Linked DNA regions of Drosophila melanogaster. The protein of the gene in region 1 purifies or fractionates together with the protein of each later gene. This does not show direct contact. Each region holds a gene or a part of one and is shown on either strand. Other genes may lie near its edges.

Region 1 (5,210 bases):
AGACGTGCAGAAAGGAAGAGGCACCTAGATAATAGTTAATGATGACGTGTATAATTTTTAGTGTTTTTACTCGCTGATTGTGACGTTTAATTCCCCGTGCACAGCAATAACAAAAGACTATGCTATAGTGGAGTTCCCCGACTATCAGGAACCCAGATATCAGAATACAATTAGAATGAAATAGGCGGTTTATGGGGGTTAGAGTGGGCATAGCAAAAAGTTTTGTTTATCAAATTTACAACACCAGCGAAAATATGAAAAAAGATCAAAACATTTTTCAAAAGCACGGGCGTGACAGGTTTGGTAAGTTTGTAGGTGTGGCAAAATGGGTCAACAAACTTGCGCTGCTTCTATGTCTCTAGAATCTGTATGCTTAACCTCAACCTTTTAGCTTTTATAGCTCAAGGACTGCTAGGTTCGGAAAAATCGAATTTCTTTTAATTTGAAATCTGGTATCGTTTGCCACGTCCAATTTTTGAAATCAGAATTTTCGAAAAAGATATAAAATCAAGAAGTTGAGGTTTTTTTTTTAAATCGCAATACCATTGTTTGTTCACGTTTGACCACCTTTTAGAATTTGAAAAAATGTATAATTTAGAAAATATATGACATAAAGCGTTTGACCATCGCTTACAACTAAATATTATCAATTAAAAACGTTTGCAAAACCATTATTATTATTTTCTTATCGTTTGCACACCCTTAAAACAAAAAAACTAAAAAGAAGTGTAAACTGCGGTTTTAGTAACTGATAATATTTTTTCACCAGATCGAAGGTGCTCTAAAAAATCGCGGTCGGTCATATGCAGCGGTTTGCACTGCCACTGACCACGAAAAATGCCCTCTTTGAACAAGAATTCGACTTTATTCGTTTAAAACATCACCAGATAGATATTGCGAGCCATTATAGTTAAGGCCATCTTTTGGTTTCATTTAGCGCAGTGCTGTACATCGTCGATTGCTTGTCTTTTGTAATGGTACAGTGGTGTTCACAAACTCTTGTGATTCTGTATATGGCTATGGATTTTGTATATAAAGAGCCTGAGTCGATGAGAACTTCGGACTTCTAAAAGTTTTGGGTTTGGTTGGGTTTAATCGGCCAACGCAGAAGTCAACAGCAGGCGTGTGATTTTCGTTGCCAAAATGGTCTCCTTGCTGATCTCAGGGACTTATGAGAATTCGGATCAAGGCTGTGCACAGGACAACTGCGAGGACGACTATTTTACTACATCCGGCGACGCCTTTTTTCGCTTCCAGAGAAGACACTATCATCGAGGTGCTTGCTGCTGAACCACGGATAAGTATTAGGGTTCTGGAAAAAGAGAGACCCCAAGATGCGATGCTTGCCGGACATCAATTGTTGTCACGTTGTTAGCTTCACTTTAATGTGTATAAGTATGTGAATTTGTGAAAGATTTTCATTTAGCAAAAGTAATGATTATTTAAAAGAGTTTTGGCTCGCGAACCGGTTCACCATTATAGGGCACTGTAACTACACGGTTCATGTAACATACTATATATCACCGTACTGTCTAGAAAAAAATCATGCTTGCGTAAGAGTGGGCGTGGCCAGAATGTTTAAGTCATTACGATTAAAAAATTAAGGTTTCATACCATCTATTTTAATTATATCGCAATGCAAAGATAAATGAAACATGTCCCAAAAATGAATTAAAAATTATGGCGGTTTATTTTTATGAAATAAAAGTTTACCCGCTTAATATTCTCTTTAATTTGCGAATACATCAACTTCTTGCTAAACTCTTTTGTATGTATACAATATACTTTTTTTGCCAAGAGTTGAGGAGTATAAAAAACATTTACCGATGAAACGCTTTTGCCGCATTGTCGTTGTTATGGTTATGCCCTTTGGCTTACCAGCATTTGACCCGGAACCTGCAGCAGCGTTTAAAGCGTGAGACAGACCAAGGAATACGCGGGACGAGAAATGTGCATTGACTTTGTTGTTAGAAACCGCGCACTTTGCAGTGCATTTATTCCGTCGTCGGTGTTGAATGAAACAAAAGTGTCGCTATTATTTAACGACAACAGCTCCTTGGACTTCAGACTCTTTGGGGTCTCTTAAGAAATGTTGAGAAAAGTGACATGGCTTAACACATCGGGGGTCTATTCAAAGGACAGATTTATAAATTCCATTTAACCGTTTCTTTAATTTGTATATCGCCTATTTTTATTAAACAATAAAACAGTATTTATAATTCAATTGGCTTTTAAAGGGAGAGAATAATTTTAACATTCGATTAGCCAACAGTAGATGAATAGCCTGAATCCAACGTATAATCCTAGAAAATTCTTGGACTCATTTATTTTGAAAACTTCCGCACAACCTTTAAATGTCATCTCATGGGAATGGTTAAACCATACTTCGATCAAGGCATTACAATAGAAATGTCTACTTCTTCCTTTGGAGACTTAACAGAAAATTTCACTTTCTTTGTTAGCGCTAAATAGGGGTTTGAGGATCTTAGCGATGCAACCTGCACCTGGTCTTGTGTAATATTTATTACGCTTTCTATTAAATAAAGCATACTTTTGTGAGCAATTGTTTGCCTTTTCTGTGCGGTCCACCCGCTAAGTTACAACAACGTATACTGCAGTTGACAAGTGTATGGGGAATTTTGTAAATGAAGTAAACTTATCCCAAGCCCGAATGACTACCGATTGTTGAAAAGAAATAAAATTAGTTTTCTATGCTTTCTTTTATTTTTCAATGGTTTGCTTGTGTAAGCTTTTCATAATTAGTCGGCTTTATTTTATAAGGTAAGTTTACTTTGTCAAAATTGTTGAACTCAACCCAACAACGCATTTCAGCCAGCTTAATTGTACTGACAACTTACATGTACTTGGATGTAATTAATCCACGATGTTTTTAAATATTTAAGTCACTTTTCAACAACTCTCACAATTCACGCTGCATTTCATTTTTGCTAAATATATATCGATCCTTGGCTATCCTTTTTCGTTTTCGAATTCTAAGCAATAGTATTTTTTAAAAACTTCCGCACAATTCGAATCAAATATCTCGGGAGCGCACAACGATTACCGGAAACGCGGAAGCGCTGGTGATGACGGCCACTTGTGGAATGGCTGAATGAACGAAGCGGTGCCATCGGCCGACCCGAGTCCAGACAAAAGACGAATCACAAGCCTGGCCGATGGGAGTCGAGTCGAGCAACAAGTCCACCCAGCAGAGGGGGCTGGAGCTTCCGCCCGCACGAGAGCCTGAGTCGAAACAGACTGGCGAATGGAGAGCAACTGAAAATACTCAAAAACGGAGTGGATTTCTGAGTCAGAGTGTTTTTTTTCGTATTTTCCAAAGTATTGAGGTGGCACCGCTGAAATTAGAGGATTATGTTATCTGGGGTCCTTTAATTAATGCCTGCATATTGACATTGCAGTCCGTACCCACGATAACTCCTTAATATAAATACTAAGTAACTGTTTGAATAAATTTTTTTTATATGAAAATGTTTACGAATGTATCTAATGCGAGTTCCGTTCGACACATTAAAGTGTAATGGTATTTCCTGCACTATTTTTAAAGTTTCATAGCCAAATGACTGCAAAACCAAGAAAGTGTTTGTTTTCGAACCCAAAATTAAATAAACTCAACTCGAAACTCAAATGCGAAATATTAAGTATTTATCAAACCAAAACTCCGTTGGCAGGGCATGACGTTCCTCTACTCACTCCGACATTATATCAATAAGTACTAGGTCCCATGAAAAACGAACGTAAAAACGTAAAACGAATATACCCTTCCCGGCACGTTGTCCCAGGCTAGCTCACACATACACAGATGCAGTTCCAACGCCACCACATATTTGCCCAACGGGGTGGATTGTGGCTCGGAGTTCCTAGACATGGACACCACGTGCTCAGGCTCAACTCCAGAGGGGGGTATTGAGCCATAGGGCAGGGGCACCCACAAGGGACTATGGGAAATTTTACCACTTTTTCTGACCAAAATGAATAACTCCAGAACGGAGTAAGATATTTGGTTTTTCTTTTCTTACATTGACTTATACTAGACCATATCTATGAGACTTCCAAAACTGTGGGCGTGGCACCACGCCTTATATTTAATTAACTAATTTTCGTAAAGGGAATTCTCCTTTATATAAAATAATACTAACAAAAACAAAAGAGAATGCTATAGTCGAGTTCTCCGACTATCAGATTGGGGAATAAATCATTTTTGGGGAATAAAATGAGAAAAAATTTCCAAAGTGTGGGTTTAACCGGTTCGGCGGCTTTAGGGCGTTAGAGTGAGCGTGGCAAAAATGTTTTTGTCAAATCGATAGGAATTTACAAGAATAATACAATTTTGAAAACATTTCAACATTTCACAAAATGCGGCCGTTTAGGCGGTTTTAGGGCGTTAGAGTGGGCGTGGAAAAATGGGTCAACAAACTTGTGTCTGTCTCTAGAATCTGTCTGCTGCATCTCAACCTTCTAGCTTTTATAGTTCCTGAAATCTCGCCGTTCATACGGACGGACAGGGCCAGATCTTCATACGGATAGTCGGACAGACGGACATGATAAGATCGACTCGGTTATTGATCCTGATCAAGAACATATACTTTATATAGTCTTAATCGCTTCCTTCTGACAGTTACATACTTTTCAACGAATTTATTTACTCTACGAGTAACGGGTATAATAATAAAACAAATCAGCAACAAATCAGCAACCGCCTTGTTGAACTCCTTTTTAGCATAAAAAACTTAACAAGAATACAAAGCTACAACATGAGGTACATTTCATTGATGGACTTTTTAAGTTAAGTCTTTATCAAACAAATGCTTTTGTAAGGAAATTTATATTTTACTCAATTTTGGGTACAACACGATTTTTTTTTATTTTGACAGTCACATAAACTTAATACACTTAAATCAGCTGCTTCATTACAACTTTTGTAACGGAGGAAAAACTTAACGTAAATGTTTTTGTAGACGCAACAGATGTTTTTAACAGCATATTTCTTTGTTGTTGCTCCATATATATTTATTTCTAAACATTGGTCAATTATGAATAGACTTATTAAATATTGCATTAATCGACCGACTTTCAGAAAATGGCTTTTAGCCAGAAAAAGTGGGTAAATTTCCCATAGTGCAAGGGTCTAAGTGAGAGGCGGATGACTAGCCTGATTAGTACATGTGACGCATGTTGCTTGCGACGGCCTG
Region 2 (7,996 bases), on another chromosome or scaffold:
ACTCATTGTCGTCACGTGCACGTGTATGTGTTGTTTGCGCTAGAATAGGTGCAACCCCAATCACGACTTTATCGATATATGCTTATCGAATGTCAGGGCTGGAGATAAGCATGTGGCGTTTGAAACAAATCATATTGTTATTCATGTTTTGAAAATATCTACAATTAATGTAAAGGTTGTTCTAATTTTGCCAACGATAACTACAAAACATATATGTTCTATCCAATATATTTACATACAGGGTATCAAATTTACAAATAAATTGGCAGTGTGGCCATACGTTGCGAGCAAAAATTACTGTACTTCAAGCATTGCCAACACAAGAATATTTTCATGGTTAAAAATTTTGGCGCGATAAAGCCGCAGTTTAAAATGTCAAAGTGTGCGCGTTCTTGGAGGTTTACCAAAATTTAGAATCATGCTTTTATTTATCGTGCATAAGTTGGTAAATTGGAATTAAATCAAGTTTTTTCCAATTTGTTTCTGGTGTGTCGTTTGTTTTGGGGTCTGTACGGCTGCTTTAATTAAAAAATATTAAAATGAAGCACGCTATTCTTTAAGGACTTTAAGGAAACGTACCTTTCTATGTTTGCCCAGGAGTTGATAGACGATATCAAGGCTGAGGATCGCATCCTACAATGTCCTTGGTGCGAAGAACAGACGTTGAGTCCATCAGCCAGCACCCGGAAACTTTTGTATTGGCTTTTAACGCTTTCAATTCGACTTTCAGAAAAGAGTCTCCTCGAAAATCACGACTGATATCCATGTAAATGAATCGGTAGATACTTGCACTTTCTTTTTAGTTATTAAAACTGACACACTGTCACTTTGCAGGTTTTAACCGCTGGCGGAAATGAAGAAGGAATCCGGGAATATTCATTTCAGTCCATTGTGGTGCACAGCGGAACTCCCCTCAGGAACAATCTTAGCCCACTAAACATCAATAAACTACTAAAATAACTTTGACTGCTGCTTAATTTCAAATATACATAAATTAATATTTTTTATTTTTAAGTTAAATTTTTTAATTCTTTTGGAGGCTCAAATTTTATATTTGGCGCAGCACTTTAATGTAGAAAATGTGAATAAAGAAATATTTCAAGGGTAAACAACAAAAAATGTTTTGATTTTGTAAAAAAAAAAACCTTAAAAATTATGAGGAGTTATAAAATAATTATCAGTTTCCGGAACTTTAAAATTCTTATCTTCAATTTGATCTTCAAGACATATTTTTCTTATAATAATATTATCAATAATATTATATAATATGTAACGGATATTTAAGTTCTTCATTTTCTTTTTCAGAAGTATTAACAAATGCATATATATAAATACATATATATTTATACAATAGAATCGCATAGGCATGAATTCAGCGCGCAAAATAATATAATTACAATAACATTGATATTATATAATAGATTATAATAATATACATATGTAAGTGTAAGTTATAAAATGGTAACAAAGTTCAACAGCTCATAGGCGAAGATCCAGTGGCACGGAATTTTCAATACAGCCAGGAGAACATCCTAATATTTTGGATAAACTCTTTGTGCCACTGTTCCGGGTGATGTGCATCATGTCCAGCACGGAGGACCTTATGTACCACTATTGCTGTTTCCTAGATTAGGATTCGCTAAAAGCTTAAATTGTAATTTCAGATTCCCAAAAATAGAAAATACCGCCAAAAGTCAGGGCAATGGCACTGCAGAAAGGATGCAGGATATTATATGTTCTTTTTGTTTTTCTCTCCCCAGAATTTGGCCCAATTAAATTTGGTATTCGAAAAAAAGAGCACGCCTCCTCCCCGAAACCGAAAAAAAACTCTGTGGCGCCGGGAACAAAAAAGAGCGCGAGAGAGTGAGAGCGCACACATAAAAAACATAAACAAGCCTTTTTCACTAGTGTGCGTTTGTGCGGAGAGAGAAGAGAGCGAAAAACAACTTCTGAAAAAAGACGCTCTTCGCTGTGATTTTTTTTCAGTCAGTTTTTCGACGGTCGTGAACACGAACAGTTATTCTAGCTCCTCCTGTTCTGCTGCTTCTGTTGGTGTTTTTTTGCGTTTGCCGCGACGTAAACAACCGAAGAGCGGAGCTTACGCCCCCAACTGCTCCAGCTCCACGCCCCCCTCGCAACGTGTTCGTTGTAAATGCAATTAATCGTTGTTGGTCGCTGAAAAAACTAATATTTCGGGAGTCCGATACAAGAAGGGCAAAAAAGCACAAGTGCAGAAAAAGCAAAAAAAAACATAAGCTTGCCGTGTGTGTGCGTTGGTGTGTGTGTGTATTTTTGGCGTGCGCGGCCATTTTTTCTTGTTGCCACTCGAGAGTCTCTTCTGTGTGCGAAAGAGAGGCCCGACGGCAAAGCAGAACGTAGCAAACTACGCAAATCCCCACTAAATTCGCTAATTTTCGCTAAATAAATCAATCGCAAGGGGTGCCCAAAAACAAACAAAAGTACGAAAATAGAGTGCCGCAGACCACAAACAAATCACCTGCGCCAGTGTGTGTGAGTGTGTCAGTGTGCGAAACAGGCAAGCTCCCAGGCGGGCTCCCACCCACAATCAGTCGGCGAACACGTGCTCCAAAATATCAACAAAAGTTGGCCCACAAACATAAAAAAGGGGGCCGCGACTGCATCCGAGACCCGAACGCCGGAACACAAAAGGCACTTTCAAATTGGTAAGTACTTTGCGCTGCACGAGCATGTTTTATTTATTTGCCTTATTGGTCAAACACACTTGCGATTGCGGTGTTTGTTTCTCTTTCCCGCGCTCACGCACAGTGGTCGCTTTTGTTATAATTGTGAGACTTGAAAACGATCGCCGTAAAATTCACATTTTTAACAAAATATTTACTGTTCGAAAGAGGGGTTTTTTGCGAATCGATGATTAGTTGACGTGTTATTATGAGAAAAACATAAAAGATTATAGGACATTATTTTTTTAAAAATGTTGCAAAAATGATTTAAAGTTTGCGATTTCCTTGTTAAATAACATGAAAGCGTTTACAGTTATTACTATTACAAAATTATAACGATTTAATATGCATATCCTTTATATATTAATTGCTACTTGAAAATTACCTAATGTAAAAACTTATATAAAGCAAATGAATTACAATTTATTTATTGGTTAGGACTCTATATCCTATTTTATAAAAAAAAAATAATAGCACAATTTCCAAAGTGTTTGTCCAGTGTTCCATTGGTCAAATACTTATTGTTTCCTTATTTCCGAATCTTCGCTATTTGGGGAATAAGTCAAAACCTTTAAACTCCAAACATTTGTAAGCCGAATGCGACTGTCAACAAATAATTAAACCAGAATAATTTCAAAAGCGTTTTGCAGTCGTGCCGCACTACTTGACCATTCCGTTTAGTCGCTTGTTTGACTTTTTATGCTCGTTCCCATTCATTTGGTGGCGGTTTTTTTTTCATTTGTGTTTGTGTGTCGATGTCTTTTTATCTTCCACTTTTTTCGTACTCATCAAATATTCGCTTCTTTTTTCGCACACATGTCGCCCCCAACAAAAGAGAGTGAGAGAGCAGTCCGATTGCGGTTGTTGCGCTGTTGTTGTTGTTCGCTCGCTCGTTCGTTTGTTTATGCTCGCTCTTTGCTCTCTTTTGTTTTCAGCTGCTCGCGCTCAATTAATTTTCGTTGATTCGTTTTTTGTGTGTAGGTTTTTTGTGTATACCATTTTATTTATACGCTTTTTGGGCTTCTCTTTCTCGTGTTTTTCTTTTTTGGGGTTTTCTTCTTTTTTTTTTTGTTGTATTTTTGGGGACTGACCGATTGCGTTTATTTATCCCCAATTTCCCCATTTGCATTCATTATGTTGAGCGGTCAATTTCCCGTGTTTCTGGATCTGTTGTTACACGGTTGCGATTACGATTCCGGCTTCTGTTTTATATTGCTCGCCACTTTCGCTTATTTCATATTACAATTGTTTGTTCGGCAAACAATTGTTTGCTTGTCGCCCCGTCTCGCTCTAAATGTGCGCAACAAGCGAGTGGCGCGTCCTTTTATTTTCTGCATTACATGGCCGCCCTCCCCCTCCCCATCTTTACACAGAATTCCTGCTACCATGCTGTTCAATTGTCCAACGTCAGCATTAACAACAACAACAACAAAGGCAGAACCGGTTATTTTGACCAGGCAAAACCAAAAAAAAAAAAGCCAAAAATTGAATTTACCTCTGACGTCAACACCCACCCGACCAAAAGGTCGTATTCAAATTCGCGCTCAGAATACAGTTTCCATTTCACAAGACCTGATTTTGCGATTTATATGCAACTATTTACTTATAATGCGTTATGCACATAAACCAATGTTGTTTAAATTAATTATGGAATACTTGGACATTTTTACAGACATAAATACATGAGTTTGAAAACCTTATTTCGTATCAAAAGTCACGTGTTTTATGCACATTATAAATATTTCGGAGACTTAAAATTAGTTAGTTAAAAGCCAAAACTGAATCCCAATTCGCATAATAATACCGACATTTTCTAGTGAAGATAAAAGCTATGATTAAAGATTTGAGTAATGACTTTTGCCTGTTTATTTGTAATGATACTATAGTTATTTGTATTTGTCAAATTTCAAATTATTCGTATGTTTGCATGAATGCACTAATATTTTATAAATATTTTTAAAACAACGCATTTAATGTTTTTAATTGAGCAATAATTGCGACGCATTGTTATTCAGCGAATTATCAATTATTCATCCCAGCTGAAATATTTAAACGCCCTTAAAAACTTTAAGTTTCATTACATTTTATCGCAACGTATTCTTTTCAAATACGCTTCCGTTTTGATTTAACGAGCAACAACTTCTGAAATAGATAATATATTCTAAGAAAATTGACCATTTTGGCGTAATTTAAAGTAAGATATTATTAATTCTTTTTAACTTTGACTTAATATAAGTTTGGAACACATTCTTTTCATGTGTTTTTTACTGTTGCATGGAAATCCCACATTTTAAGTAATTCATTTGGGATTTACAGACCAAGAACATCAGTGGTCCATTGGAAACCCGGCTGCATCGCCCTAAAAAGTGGCAGAGATGTAGTTGCATTCAGTTCTCGAGGTTGTTGACACGTTCCGTTGGCGCCCCTGACGTTTTTTGCCTTTTTTGCTTTTTTTTTTTTTTTTGCCTGCCCATCGTCACCTGGCCACAGAGTAATCGCGATTTTGGTTCTTCGGGCCAGAATGCGATTCCATTTCGCTTTCCATCTGGTGGTTGTCACCAACAATTTCTGGCCGCAAGCGCCTTTTTTGTTTATCTTGTGATTTTTTCCGTTGACTAACTCTTTTTTGCCCGGCATTGTTATTAATTCTCTGCGCTTTTTGCGCCCCATTGGCAACTTTTTACTGGGTTGCAACAGTTGTGCTTTCAGTCAGTACCTTCTGCGCGCAGCACGTTTAATTCACAAACAATTAATTAATTCATGCATATTTATGTTAATGTGCAGAAATTAATGTACCCAACGGCGGGGAGTGGAGCGGCCAAGTGGCAGAATCGAAAAGTAGTTTAAGCACTTGTGCCGACTGGGCACAAATTTGTGGATTCAAGAATTACAATATTTCTGTACTTTCAGCACAAAAACGCGCCGAGTTGTGTAAGCCCGCCGCCAGTGAAGTGTCGACTTCCCGGCGACGAAGACCGCAGCAATATTTCCACTAGCCAGTAACGCACAGGCTCGTTCCGCCGCTGACGACGACCCCAAACTGGACGCCCGCACCATCGCCTACCGCCCGCTGACCCTTGGCGGCCACCAGACGCCGCTTATGGCCGAACTGCCGACGGCGCCGAACGGCGTCCCCAGCGGCGATTATCTGCACCGCTCCATCGATCAGCTGCGTTCGCTGGGTCATCTGACCACCGCCCAATTGGTTCACGACTACAAGCCCTTCAACATTAGCGAATTCCGGCAGAATGTCGCTGAGCGACTGGACTACTCGCTGAAGAACGGCCTGGTGCAGCACCAACAGCAAATGGTCATGGAGCAGCAGCCACATCCCGATCAGCAGCAGCAGCAGCATCTGCATCACCCGCAACAGCAGCAGCACCCGCCGCAGCTGAAGGTCAGCTACAGTGCGCCCAACTCGCCGCCCACTCCACACGAGCAGCAGGAACAGAAGGTAATCACTTATTTCAATATTGAAAAAATATATCATACGCATATAAATGTTACTGATATGATACTTAAATTGCGATCTTAATATTTCTTCGGTCAAAGATTATATGACTTTGCTTTAGTAACCCATTCATCGTGTACTTAATACTAAACGATACCCTTAAAACGTTCTATCTACTTCCAGTACGACCCGAATCGATCGCCGCCGCGTCAGCAGATGAGCAGCGCTAGCGGCAGTGGCAGCAACGGCTCCTCGCCTGAGGAGGAAAGCCGACGGGGAGACGGTGATCAGGCCAAGCCCTACAAGTGTGGCTCGTGCAGCAAGTCCTTTGCCAACTCCTCGTACCTGTCGCAGCACACGCGTATCCACCTGGGGATCAAGCCGTACCGCTGCGAGATATGTCAGCGCAAGTTCACGCAATTGTCGCATCTCCAGCAGCACATCCGTACGCACACGGGTGACAAACCGTACAAATGCCGGCACGCCGGCTGCCCGAAGGCCTTCTCGCAGCTATCCAATCTGCAGTCACACTCGCGTTGTCATCAGACGGACAAGCCGTTCAAGTGCAACTCCTGCTACAAGTGCTTCAGCGACGAGATGACCCTGCTGGAGCACATTCCCAAGCACAAGGACTCCAAGCACCTGAAGACGCACATCTGCAATTTGTGTGGCAAATCGTACACGCAAGAGACCTACCTTCAGAAACATCTGCAGAAGCACGCAGAGAAGGCGGAGAAGCAGCAGCATCGCCACACGGCCCAGGTGGCTGCCCACCAGCAGCACGTACCGGCGAGCGGCATCGGCTTGAATTTGCAGCGCCAGGCCATGAACGATGTGAATGCCGCATATTGGGCCAAAATGGGCGCAGACAGTGCGGCGGCTTCGCTGGCGGAAGCCATTCAGCAGCAGTTGCCGCAGGCCGGCGGTCAGCCGTATGGCAACTTTGCATCCCTGCAGCAGCAGCATCAGCAACAGCAGCAGGAACTGCTGCATCATCAGCGATTGGCAGACACGCCGGGGCATTCGCATAGTCCTCACGAGGAGGCCGCGGGCGAGGATCTCGTCCTGCGCCAGTCAACACCACAACATCACCTTCAGCAACAACAGCAGCAGCAGCAACAGCAGCAGGCCCAGCAGCAACAACAAGCGCAGCACCAGCCATCGCCTGGACCGGGAAACTCGGCCTTCACTCCACTGTCGGCGACAGTGGCTCCACCGCCACATCTTCAACAGCATCGCGGTCCGCCAGGATCCGCCGCTGCCTATCTGTATCAGCAGAATGCGGCGGCAGCAGCAGCGGCTTTTCCCACACAGCTCATCTCGCTTCACCAGATCCGAAACTATGCCCATCAGCCAGGAGCGGCGGGTCTCATCGCTGGCGATCATCTCGCCTTGGGCCTGAGCGCTGTTAATGCCGCCAAAGAAAAGGCGCAATAGTACAGGCCGTCAGGTCGGGGCCAAAAGAGGCAGCAACGATGACATTAGCTTAGGATCAACGTTTAAGTTGGTATGGATACAAGAGCGTGGTATTTTATTCTCTTTGAATCCATACCAATTGAAACACTGAAAGTAAAATAAGTTACTCATAGTTTCCAGTTGGCAGTGGCATAGGAGCTGGGATTGTGACTGGTTTTTCTTAAGCATCCTTCCAACTTCCAAATTCATCATGAAACTTGTATACGATTCGGCCAAAATCAACTCCATCACTGCCCAAAACCAATAAGAAAATCAACTGCAATCCTACAGTTTCTGTGCTATTTTCAACTGCCATATGAAAGTAATATGTAATATCTAGATCAACTCAGGATTTTAAATACGATAATTATGCACACTTTTAGATATC

Evidence for each region.
Region 2: the proteins of dimm (region 1) and sqz purify together in Drosophila melanogaster (affinity purification with western blotting; one study listed by BioGRID). This does not show direct contact.

Annotation. Positions count from the first base shown.
Region 1 is NT_033779.5:21,329,675-21,334,884, reverse strand, and holds the start of dimm (dimmed), read right to left. Parts: upstream 3,130-5,210; 5' UTR 2,859-3,129; intron 1-2,858. UniProt on the Drosophila melanogaster protein: Transcription factor that regulates neurosecretory (NS) cell function and neuroendocrine cell fate. Acts as a master regulator of common NS functions such as Phm expression and neuropeptide production.
Region 2 is NT_033777.3:19,162,233-19,170,228, forward strand, and holds the start of sqz (squeeze), read left to right. Parts: upstream 1-1,978; 5' UTR 1,979-2,684; intron 2,685-5,612; 5' UTR 5,613-5,802; coding exon 5,803-6,156; intron 6,157-6,336; coding exon 6,337-7,590; 3' UTR 7,591-7,996. Other genes in the region: Nsun5 (Nop2/Sun-like domain containing protein 5), read right to left, coding at 1-6. UniProt on the Drosophila melanogaster protein: Transcription factor involved in neuronal fate specification. First required in embryonic CNS development to define the number of cells that express apterous (ap) in the ap thoracic cluster of interneurons.